3 linked regions of the Rattus norvegicus genome follow. The protein of the gene in region 1 interacts with the protein of each later gene in a pairwise test. Links are inferred from orthologs where the notes say so. Each region holds a gene or a part of one and is shown on either strand. Other genes may lie near its edges.

Region 1 (4,495 bases):
GTCAGACATTGAAACAAATGTAGGAACAGTGCAGTTCTGTTGGGCTTATTAAAAATCCCATCTTAGCCATTCATAAGCGTGCTTTCAAGTATTTGTTACTAAAATCAAAATGATATTCCTTCTATAATAAAGGCTGTAGCAATTTTCTTCATTAGCGACTGCAGACTTTAGTTTCTGACTCAAACCTGGAGCTCAACCATGCACAGCTTGTAACAATGTGTTGCTTGGATCCCAGTTTGAGGGTCTTCATTTTCCTTTTAGTGGGTCTAGTATGAAACAGAATAACTGGAGCCTAAGCTGTACCTTTTTGTTAGTCTATCTGTTGAGACTTTATGGGAAAACCACTTAGGTATTGCACCGCATCATTCTGGTAACATAGGAAGCTGAATCAGTTTGTAGTTGAAGTCACGTATTGGTTCTTACAAATCAGGGCATATTAAACCCTGCAGGAGCAAAGACCTGATTCTGAGGATATCGCAAATGAAGCTTGTCCAAACAGATTACACCTACGGGCTCTCACATCTAGCTCTAGCCCCCAACCTTAATTTAAGCAATTGAACATCTGGTAAATCCTAAGCCTGTTCAACTGAGAATGACTCATGAGGAAATCCTGATTCCTTACACCCTGAAACTACAAATGATCCGGGTGCAGCCGAACTGGGAATCTTGGGTTTCCCTTTGTATTTCTCACTTATCACTCAGATCTATGCTATGCCCGGAGGGAGATGCCCATCAGGGAGATGCCCATCGGGTCTCCTGGGGAACGACCTTGCAACGTCACAGCCTGCTGCAACCATGCATTTAAAGATCAAGACTGCAGAACCATTTAAAACACCAGGTTTTAAGAAACACTTTCTCCTGCTTCCTCCCTGAGCAGCCTGTATTCCCTTAAGGAAATCCAAGGTGCCTCAGAGAGCTACAGAGTCACAGCACCTAGTTCAGTAGCCTGTGTTTCAGGGTTCTCTTGTTGTTGATTTCCTTCTCCAAAACAGGTGGAGTGGCCGAGTGCAGTCAGCAGGACTCTCCCCATCCCGGCTTCAGTTTATAGGTGTCCGGATGAACAAAAGACAAGTTGCAAAGGTGGGGGGCACACACCACAAACCACACGCGCGCGCGCGCGCACACACACACACTACGGTCTTCACTCAAGAAAAAGCCACAAATTCAGGACCCTTCACGGCTGTGGCCGCCTGAGCTGCCTAACAGCGATCGCTCTCTGTCCCCGCCCGCCACCTCCCACCCTGTGTGCGCACGAGGATGCGGCGCCTACGTCAACAGCGCCCTCACTTCCAGACCCTTCGGCGGCTGCCGTGACTGCCGCAGGCCCGCGTGACCCCGCCCTCGTGCCGTCTGCAGTGGGCCAATCCGCGCCCTCTAGAGGTGTGGCCGACGCCTCCAAGTCCCGCCCCTGCGCCGCCGCCCGCCTTAAAAGCTCGCGCCGCGCTCCGGGCGGCAAACAGCTGCGGTGGCCGCGGGTGTCTGAGAATGCAAAGTGCCATGTTCCTGGCTGTCCAGCACGACTGCGTACCCATGGACAAGAGCGCAGGCAACGGCCCCAAGGTCGAGGAGAAGCGGGAGAAAATGAAGCGGACACTGTGAGTATGCCCTCTCTTCCTAAGAGTTCCTACCCTGCCTGGCTTTGCTGCTAGGGACCGACCTTCTCTCGATCTCGGCTAGGAATACTCTAGACTGCGCCTCTGCAAAGAAAGTGTGGGAGAGTTGGGGGCTTGTGGGGGAGAGAAAAAGTTAGCTTGCTAGATCTGGTGGTATGTGCTTTTTCTATGTGAGCTCAGAGAGTTTAAGAACTGTAGGAAATGGTCGAAGAAGGTGGCGGTAGATGGGCTGAGAAGGCGCTGGTTGGCTTTTTTTTTTTTTTTTTTTTTTTTTGTTCTGCATTTAATGTAGCATCAGACTCCTGCAGCGGAATGAAGTCCACCGGCGCCTAGTCGTTGCATTGTTAGTTCTGAGCTGCTTGCATAGCTGCTGGGTGGGGATGTTTGAATTGATTCTCAATGTATGCGATCCGTTTTTAAATCATAAAGTAGGTCTCACCCAGTCACGACTATGGAATGAGTAATTCGCTCTGCAGTATCTGCTGCAGAGAAGCACTGTGGGCGGCCTGAGAAGGGAGCTAGGGAATCCAACACACACACACACACACACACACACCTATGCATTGTCTCTGGCATAGTCCAGACCCTCCAACACACACACACACACACACACACACACACACACACACACACACACACACCCCTATGCATTGTCTCTGGCATAGTCCAGACCCTCCTGCCTCCGGTGCAGAAAGGGAAAAAACAGCAGCTGTTCTCAATCACAAAATGTCAGCAAGTTGTAGTCAACCACACAGAAAAACCTCTATCTGTTTATTAGGTCAGAAATAGCTGGTGAAAATGTAAACTGCCTTAGGTCTTACCTAGTTCTATCCTGCTTGTGAAGCTCATTATAGTCAGACTAATGGAGAAAAGCCAGGAGGTGCTGGGTTTAAATGCTAAGGGAATGAGACTCATTGTCTGCTTTGTCTGTAGCTACTGCAACTGATGATAATTTTACCATTCAAGAATTGCTACTTGAAGTATATTTTCTTTCTTTCTTTTTTCTTCCAGCTTAAAAGATTGGAAGACCCGTTTGAGCTATTTCTTGCAAAACTCCTCTACTCCTGGGAAGCCCAAAACTGGCAAGAAAAGCAAACAGCAAACTTTTATCAAGTGAGTTTCAAATCCTGTAGTTACAGAGATGAGTATCTGGTCAAACCAGTGGACAGGAAAGGGGAGCTGTCATGTGTGGTGAAGCTCATGTGTGGAACTTCTCTTGCAGGCCTTCTCCTGAGGAAGCGCTGCTCTGGGCAGAAGCATTTGATGAACTGCTGGCCAGCAAATGTAAGTTAACCTCTTGAATGTGATCTCTTGCCGGTATCTCAAAAGCCTAGAAATGTTCCCTTCGCACCACAAAATGAGCAGTTTGCAAGAAATGCATTAGACATTACCACCACCGACAGTACAAAGCCTGTTTCTCTTTCCCTTATATCACTAAGTTTAATCATAGGGAAGCAAGAGGTATTCAACTCAGGTGGGGAAGAAAAATTAGCCTAAAAATTAAGATGCCAGTTACTCATAGCTGATTGAGTCAGCTTTTCCATTACATAGAATATTTTCAAAAGCCCTAGTTCCTAGTGGACTTAGAGTCGTCCTGTAAATACTGGTCTTGGCATTGACAGGGAAGTTAAGTATACTTTTTGTTGCAGACTACAAACTTAAGCGTTTTGCTTACTGGCATCTTAGTGCTTAAAGAGCTAGACTTCCAGAATGACAGGCTTGAATGAAGTCTAGGAAACTGATCATTTTGTACTAGGAGAGCTGTGTGTAATTCGGCCATTCCATTCATATTCTTCATACCGCGTCTCCTTGTGCTTCCAGATGGGCTTGCTGCATTCAGAGCGTTTTTAAAGTCCGAGTTCTGTGAAGAAAATATTGAATTCTGGTTGGCTTGCGAAGACTTCAAGAAAACCAAATCACCACAGAAACTGTCCTCAAAAGCAAGGAAAATATACACCGACTTCATCGAGAAGGAAGCTCCCAAAGAGGTAAGAAAGCAGGTTCCTCAGATCGTCTTCAATACTGAAGGGAAACACGAGACTTGAATACACTGCGTTCATACTCACGGGAGAGGAGCCGTGTATGGCTCTCACCCCAGCTCTCCTAACATTTAAGTTTCTCCCAAAACTGACAGTTATAACTGATCACAAACTATACCTTCATGTTTTATTATTAAGCATCGGTCTGTACCATTGAATAGCAAATAAATGGAGTTTTCTTTTGTTCTTTCAGATAAACATAGACTTTCAAACAAAAACTCTGATTGCCCAAAATATCCAAGAGGCTACAAGTGGCTGCTTCACCACAGCGCAGAAGAGGGTGTACAGCCTGATGGAGAACAACTCTTATCCTCGTTTCTTGGAATCAGAATTTTATCAGGACTTGTGTAAAAAGCCACAGATCACCACGGAGCCCCATGCTACATGAGACAGGGAGACCCCCACCGAGGACATTCCATTCTGTCTCCCGAGAGCAAAGGCTGTAACCTGCCAGAAAAAAAAAACAAACTGACCTTGAATTCAGCCTGAGTGTTAGGAAAACATCGCTCAGAACTATTGATTCAATGTTGGGTAGTGAATCAGGAAGCCAGCAACCTAGGAGAGTCTCTGTGAGAAGTTTCCCTTGCTGTGTGAAGAACAGAGGGAGGGAACAGGGTTCTGAATGGGCTCGTCCCTGTCAGGAAAGCAGGGTGTGAGATGAAAGATACAATGGAATGTTGTTGGAGCATTTAAAATCAATAGGTCTGGGATTATGTGGCCTTAGCTAGCTGGCTGTACACCTTTCCCTGAACTAGTCCATGTTACCACGTAGTGGTTTTAGTTCTAGTTTTAATATTTTAGTACTAAGTAACATTATAATGTTTACTGTGTGCAAGGGTGTTG
Region 2 (3,961 bases), on another chromosome or scaffold:
TACCATCTTCCCTCAACGTTCCCTTCCCCTTCCCTCCGTTCAGGCTGCAGTACGGTGGTCTGGGCCAACTGGCAGACGGCGTGGTGGGGCTGGATGATTTCAGGCAGAGCCAGGAGCTGCGGGTTTGGCCAGGCTATGACTATGTGGGATGGAGCAACCATAGCTTCCCCAGCGGCTACGTGGAGATGGAGTTTGAGTTTGACCGGCTGAGGTCTTTCCAGACCATGCAGGTGAGTGAGCTCCGTTCTCTGGGAGGGAGCTCTTGGGTTTTCCTGGCCTTGACTCAGTGTTTTCCTCTTAACCTCAGGTCCACTGTAACAACATGCACACTCTGGGAGCCCGCCTCCCAGGCGGGGTGGAATGCCGGTTTAAAAGGGGTCCGGCCATGGCCTGGGAAGGAGAGCCTGTACGCCATGCCCTGGGGGGTAGCCTTGGAGACCCCAGAGCCAGGGCCATCTCGGTGCCCCTGGGTGGTCACGTGGGCCGCTTCCTGCAGTGCAGATTCCTCTTTGCAGGACCCTGGTTACTCTTCAGTGAGATCTCTTTCATCTCGGGTAAGCCCCCAGTGTGTGCCAGCCTTAGCCCCTTAGGTTTCCCTGTCATCAGACAGTTAATCCTGTGGCGTCCTGATATTCTGTCACCCCCGAGATTCTCAAACTAAGGTGGAATAATCAGACCCCGGTTCTTTTGTAGAGTCTTTGTTTTGTTTTGTTTTGGGTTTTTTGTTTGTTTGTTTTTGGTGTTTTACAGACTTTTTTATTTTATTCTGTTTTTGAGACAAGGTCTCACTTTACGGTCCTGGCTGCCCTGTAACTCACAGAATTAGGCCTGCCTCTGCCTTCAAGTGCTGGGATTAAAAGCATGCGCCACCACATCCAGGCAGATTATTCTTAAATATAATTTAAAATTTAAAAATGGGGCTGGAGAAATGGCTCAGTGATCAAGAGCACCGACTGCTCTTCCAGAAGTCTTGAGTTCAAATCCCAGCAACCACAACCATCCGTAATAAGATTTGATGCCCTCTTCTGGTGTGTCTGAAGACAGCTACAGTGTACTTATATATAATAAGTAAATCTTTAAAAAATAAAATTTAAAAACGATTCTGTTACCTAACTTGGGCCAGCCTAAAATAAATTTCAACGATTTCCTGTGCCTCAGCCTCCTAAGCCATTAGGATTATTGGCGTGTACGGTCCCTTTTCACCAAATCTCTCTGTGTTTCCTGTATAAGTTCCCCCATTCCCGATTCATCCTGAGTGAGGGAAGTCTGTTTAAGCCTGAAAGACTTCTGTTCTGCCTAGATGAGGAACAGCCTCTTTTCTAAGCCTGCGGGGCCCCGCCCCAATTTATCCACTTCCGGTTGGCCAGGGACTCCCCAGATGCGGTACCTGTGAGGTTGCTCTGGGTAATCACTAACCACCTGCCCTCCTTAGTTCGCCAGGTCTCACACAGCTGTGTCCCCTCTGGTCCTCACTCCCTCTTGACTTTTCTTCCTTCTCCCCAGATGTGGTGAACGACTCGTCTGACACCTTCCCACCAGCCCCCTGGTGGCCGCCTGGCCCGCCTCCCACCAACTTCAGCAGCTTGGGTGAGCAGTCTTTGACCTCAGCTCCTCCTGGGTCTTCCCCTCCGGTGGGGTAGGCCACCCCGCTGTGGTGCTGACCTTTCTCTTCTATCAGAGCTGGAGCCCCGGGGTCAACAGCCTGTGGCCAAGGCGGAGGGGAGCCCAACTGCCATCCTCATTGGCTGCCTGGTGGCCATCATCCTTCTCCTCCTCCTTATCATTGCCCTGATGCTCTGGAGGCTGCACTGGCGCCGGCTGCTCAGCAAGGTGAGCAGGGATGTGTGTGTGTGTGTGTGTGTGTGTGTGTGTGTGAGTGTGCACACATGTGTGTACATGGGAGTGACATGTGTCAGTGTATGTTTATGTGCATGTGTGTGCGCATTGTGTGAGTTGTGTAGGACTGTGTATACAAGTGTGAAAGTGCATGTGTGTGAGTGTGTGCATGTACATGTGTGCATGTGTTTGAGTGTGTATAAGACTGTACACGAGTGTGAAAGTATATGTGAGTGGCTGCTCAGCAAAGTGGGCAGGGCAGTGTGTGTATGAGTAAGTGTGTGTGTGTGCATGTGCATGAGTGTGTGTATGACTGTGTACAAGTGTGAGAGTGCATGTGTGTCGTATGTATGTGAGTGTGTGAGAATGTGTGTGAGTATTGAATATATGAGTATGTATGCATGCATATTGAGTGCATGTGTGAGTGTGTGCATGTGTGTATGTAAGTGCAGTGTTTTTGTGTGTGCATTTGTGTATGTGTACATGTGTGTATACAAGTGTGTGTGAATGTGGATGAGTGTTGTATGTATGAGTATATTTGTTTGGATGTGTGTGTGAGTGAATGTGGGTGAGTGTTTTATGTTTGAGTGTATGAGTGTGTGTGTTTGGATGTGTGTGTGTGTGAATGTGGGTGAGTGTTGTATTTTTGAGTGTATGAGTGTGTAGGTGTGTGTGAACATATGTGTGTGTTGTATGTATGAGTGTATGTGTTTGAGTGTATTTGAGTGTAGGTGTATGCGTGTATGTGCTCTCATGCAGAATCAGGGGCCAGTAGGATCTGTAGGGTGTGGACTAATCTCAGAAACAGACCATTCTCAAGAGTGGGCATGAGTGTGTCAGTAATACCATGTGAGTTGGCTCCCACCTCTGTGGGCCTCATTGGGTGAGAGGACTTGGCTGTTACCAGAGCTAGGGAGGAGCAAGAGCCAGAGAGTCCCTACTTGGTCCCTTGAAAGAGGCAGGGCCTTCTGGTACAGGATGTAGCAGGCAGCAGGGCAGCCCTCCCTCAGGGAAGAGCCCTGAGGACAGATCCTCACCTCACATTCTGTCCCTCAGCCAGCGCTGTCTTCCTCCCCTGCCATTCTCTAATCAAGCCCAACCAGCCTGTGGGGAGCAAAAGCCGAAGAGTAGGGGAGCGAAGGAGACAATAATCGGGTCGCTCGCTCTCCGTATGCCCTGGACTTCCACGTGTCCATTGTGGCTGATAATTAGGGTCTCGTCAGATTTGGGTTGGGTCCTGTGGTGTGACCTCAGGGAAGTGGGGCCATAGGAGCTACAGCTGTTAGGCTGCCGTGAGTGGAGAACAGAGCAACTCAGGAAGCCATGCTAAGCAGTGGCTCAGGCAAAATTGTCTAATCCCATAATTAGGCAGAGCGCCGGGTGTTGGAGGAGGAGCTGACGGTTCACCTCTCTGTCCCTGGGGACACCATCCTCATCAACAACCGCCCAGGGCCCCGAGAGCCACCCCCTTACCAGGAACCCCGGCCTCGGGGGACTCCAACTCACTCTGCGCCCTGCGTCCCCAATGGCTCTGGTAAGGCCTGCCTTGTTCCAGTGCCACCATGTCTTGTCTTCTGCCTGTATCCTTACCGTAGCCCTCCTTCTCCTGTACTGTCTATACCAGTTCTGACTCATTTTTCTCATTTCTATCCATCTCCATAAAGTCTCCCCCAAGGCTTTCCTGTCTGTTACCTACAATGCCAGTGGGCCCATCCTGTCACTGTGTGGTAGACTTCTGTTGTGCCCCTCTCCTTGTCTCCCTACCCTCCACATTTATCTGTCCATCTGTCCATCCATCCACTCACTTAACCACCCATCGCCATGCCATCCATCTATATTCATAAACTCATTTGTCTGTCCGGCAGTCAGACATCAGTTCCGACACCCATCTATCATCGCCCATCCATTCAGTTCTGTTACTTTGCAGGGCCTTGCTTTATTCTATTTCCGTCTCCTGGACTTCCATTCCCACACGCCCACTCTTGCCTTATTCCAGGTCTCCCTGTCTGTCTAGCCTTGAGTCTCATCCCTTCCCCGTGTCTCCCCCCTCCTTCTCCCGACAGCGTTGCTGCTCTCCAATCCGGCCTACCGCCTCCTTCTGGCCACTTACGCCCGTCCCCCTCGA
Region 3 (2,790 bases), on another chromosome or scaffold:
CTGGAGGCGGGGCATATAGATGAGGGGGTGTGGTCTGGAGCAGTGATGAAAGGCTGGCAATAAATTGTTGGAGGAGAGACTTGACTGGATCCTGTAGTCTGCGTAGACATTAGTAGCACGGTTTCCCACCGTTAGGGCGCAAAGTGAAGGGACATGGTTAAGAATGGGACTAACTGCGTCCTGATCGCACCCCTTTCCACAGGATGATCCCTTCTACCAGCCAGACCTTCCTGGTGAATGATTTGGCGGCTGGCCGCGCCTATGATTTGTGTGTGTTGGCAGTCTACGACGATGGGGCCACCGCTCTGCCGGCCACCAGAGTGGTGGGCTGTGTGCAATTCACCACCGCGGGAGATCCTGCACCATGCCGCCCGCTGAGGGCCCACTTCTTGGGCGGCACCATGATCATCGCCATCGGGGGCGTCATCGTAGCCTCGGTCCTCGTTTTCATCGTTCTGCTCATGATTCGCTACAAAGTGTATGGCGATGGGGACAGCCGCCGCATCAAGGGGACGTCCAGATCGCCCCCTCGGGTCAGCCACGTGTGCTCTCAGACCAATGGTTCAAGTGCACAGCAAGCCTCCGCCCCACCAGCTCCAGACCGCTACGAGGCGCTGCGGGAGGTGGCTGTCCCTGCAGCCATCGAGGCAAAGGCCATGGAGGCCGAGGCGACTTCCACTGAGCTAGAGGTGGTGCTTGGACGCTCTCTGGGTGGCTCGGCCACCTCTCTGTGCTTGCTGCCCTCCGAGGAAACTTCAGGGGAGGAATCTAGGGCCGTAACCGGCCCTCGAAGGAGCCGTTCGGGGGCCTTGGGGCCTCCAACTTCAGCACCCCCAACGCTAGCTCTGGTTCGTGGGGGATCCCCGGCCCGGCCGAGGCCACAACAACGCTATTCCTTTGATGGGGACTACGGGGCGCTGTTCCAGAGTCACAGTTACCCGCGCCGCGCCCGGCGGACAAAGCGCCACCGGTCCACGCCCCACCTGGACGGGGCTGGAGGGGGCGCGGCCGGGGAGGACGGAGACCTGGGGCTGGGCTCCGCCCGGGCACGCCTGGCCTTCACCAGCACCGAATGGATGCTGGAGAGTACGGTGTGAGCGGCGGGCGCACGGGCACCGGGACGCCTGTGGGCCGCACTTAGTTGCCCAGCCCGGCCGGATGCGGGGGAGGCTGGAGAGAAGGGACGCGCGAGGGGCGGGGCCTACCGCAGTCAAGGCCACGCCCACCAGCCTCCGGATTGGAGGAAGGCCGCCGGCCTCTCCGACTCCACCCCTCTGCCCTGTCCCCCGCGCGCTCGCGGACCTCGCCGGAGCCGGTGCCTTACACAGCGAAGCGCGGGGAGGGGCGGGGCCCCCCCACACTGCAGCACTGAGACACGAGTCCCCTACCCTACCCGGGACCCTGGGGCAGGGGCGAGGGGCCCATTCCTTGTATCTGGCTGGACTAGATCTCTTCTGCCCCGCGGCGGCCTCCAAAGCCTCCCGTCCCCTCACCCAGCCCCATCCCTGGTCCCACCAGTCTGGTTTGGAGGGAGGGGCTTCTTTTTTCTCTCTATGTCCTAGTCTTTCCTGCCCTCTGTCGTCTGTTTTAAGTCCTTCCCTACTTGTCTCCCTTTTTTCTGTCCCATTGTCGTCTCTTCTCCCTCTGCCCTCCCTTGTTTTTGGTTTTTTGTTTGTTTGTTTGTTTTTTGTTTTGTCCAGTGTCCGTGTCTCTCCCGATTCCCTGTCCTCACCATCTTCCGGGCAGGTCCCACTGAAGGACCAGACTCTTCTATCTTCCTTATCCCCACAATGAATTCCCCACACAAACAAAAACCAAATCCCACTCCGGAGCCGGGACCCTCCGCCGCAGCAGAATTAAACTTTTTTCTGTGTCTGAGGCGGCTCTGCTGACGTGTGTGTGTGTGTGTGTGTGCGCGCGTGTGTGTGCGTGTGTGTGTGTGCGCGCGTGTGTGTGCGTGTGTGTGTGCGCGCGTGTGTGTGCGTGTGTGTGTGCGCGCGCGCGCGTGTTTTGGGGGTAGGAGGATTCTGAATCAGACTGAAGAGGACATGACAGTGGGCATGAGGAGACTGGAAGGCAGACTCGGAGGTGGGGAGAAACAAAAATGATAGTGACAGGTGGCTAGTATGTGGGTAACCTTTAAACCATCCAATCTTTAAAATTATCTTAGGACATCACACTGTTAGCCCATTTTAGAGATGAGAACGCTGAGAACAGGTGGAATAGATAACATGTCCTGGCATAACCAGAGGGTGGAAAATTAAGATTCGTTTATTTAATATTGATTCCAGCTGGGCATAGTGGCTCTTGCCTTTAAGCCCAAAACTCAGAAGGCAGAGACTGGGGGATGTCTTATGATCTCTGATCTTGAGGCCAGCCTAGTCTACAGAATGAGTTCTAGATAAGCTAGGGCTACATGGTAAGTATATCTGAAAACAACAAAAAGCAATTCTCCATGCAGTGTTTTCTTACTGATTTAGTATGTGGGTGTGGCGTATACACCCCTGTGCTGCTGCACTCATCTTTATGTGTGAGAACCGAGGTCAAAGGTAAATATCGGGTGCCATCCACCTCATTTGTTGAGACAGAAACTCATTGTAGCTCATCAATTAGGCTAGACTGGCTGGCCAGTGAACTCCAGGGTCCTCCACTATCCACTTCTGCCTCCAGCACTGGAGTTATAGATGTTTTATGAGTGTAATGGGGGTCTGCACTCCCCCATGTTTGCATGACAAACACTATTCGTTGAGATATCCCCTCAAGCACATACATACATACATACATACATAC

The links.
Region 2: the proteins of Rgs2 (region 1) and Ddr1 interact in a two-hybrid assay, tested with the Homo sapiens proteins (2 studies listed by BioGRID and IntAct). The link is inferred for Rattus norvegicus from reciprocal best matches to the Homo sapiens genes RGS2 and DDR1.
Region 3: the proteins of Rgs2 (region 1) and Lrfn1 interact in a two-hybrid assay, tested with the Homo sapiens proteins (2 studies listed by BioGRID and IntAct). The link is inferred for Rattus norvegicus from reciprocal best matches to the Homo sapiens genes RGS2 and LRFN1.

The regions. Positions count from the first base shown.
Region 1 is NC_086031.1:58,349,657-58,354,151, reverse strand, and holds Rgs2 (regulator of G-protein signaling 2), read left to right. Parts: upstream 1-1,485; coding exon 1,486-1,595; intron 1,596-2,624; coding exon 2,625-2,726; intron 2,727-2,835; coding exon 2,836-2,897; intron 2,898-3,434; coding exon 3,435-3,601; intron 3,602-3,845; coding exon 3,846-4,040; 3' UTR 4,041-4,089; downstream 4,090-4,495. UniProt on the Homo sapiens protein: Regulates G protein-coupled receptor signaling cascades. Inhibits signal transduction by increasing the GTPase activity of G protein alpha subunits, thereby driving them into their inactive GDP-bound form.
Region 2 is NC_086038.1:3,060,357-3,064,317, forward strand, and holds part of Ddr1 (epithelial discoidin domain-containing receptor 1 precursor), read left to right. Parts: intron 1-43; coding exon 44-230; intron 231-307; coding exon 308-554; intron 555-1,503; coding exon 1,504-1,587; intron 1,588-1,678; coding exon 1,679-1,830; intron 1,831-3,204; coding exon 3,205-3,370; intron 3,371-3,899; coding exon 3,900-3,961. UniProt on the Homo sapiens protein: Tyrosine kinase that functions as a cell surface receptor for fibrillar collagen and regulates cell attachment to the extracellular matrix, remodeling of the extracellular matrix, cell migration, differentiation, survival and cell proliferation.
Region 3 is NC_086019.1:92,887,107-92,889,896, forward strand, and holds the end of Lrfn1 (leucine-rich repeat and fibronectin type III domain-containing protein 1 precursor), read left to right. Parts: intron 1-202; coding exon 203-1,097; 3' UTR 1,098-1,878; downstream 1,879-2,790. UniProt on the Homo sapiens protein: Promotes neurite outgrowth in hippocampal neurons. Involved in the regulation and maintenance of excitatory synapses. Induces the clustering of excitatory postsynaptic proteins, including DLG4, DLGAP1, GRIA1 and GRIN1.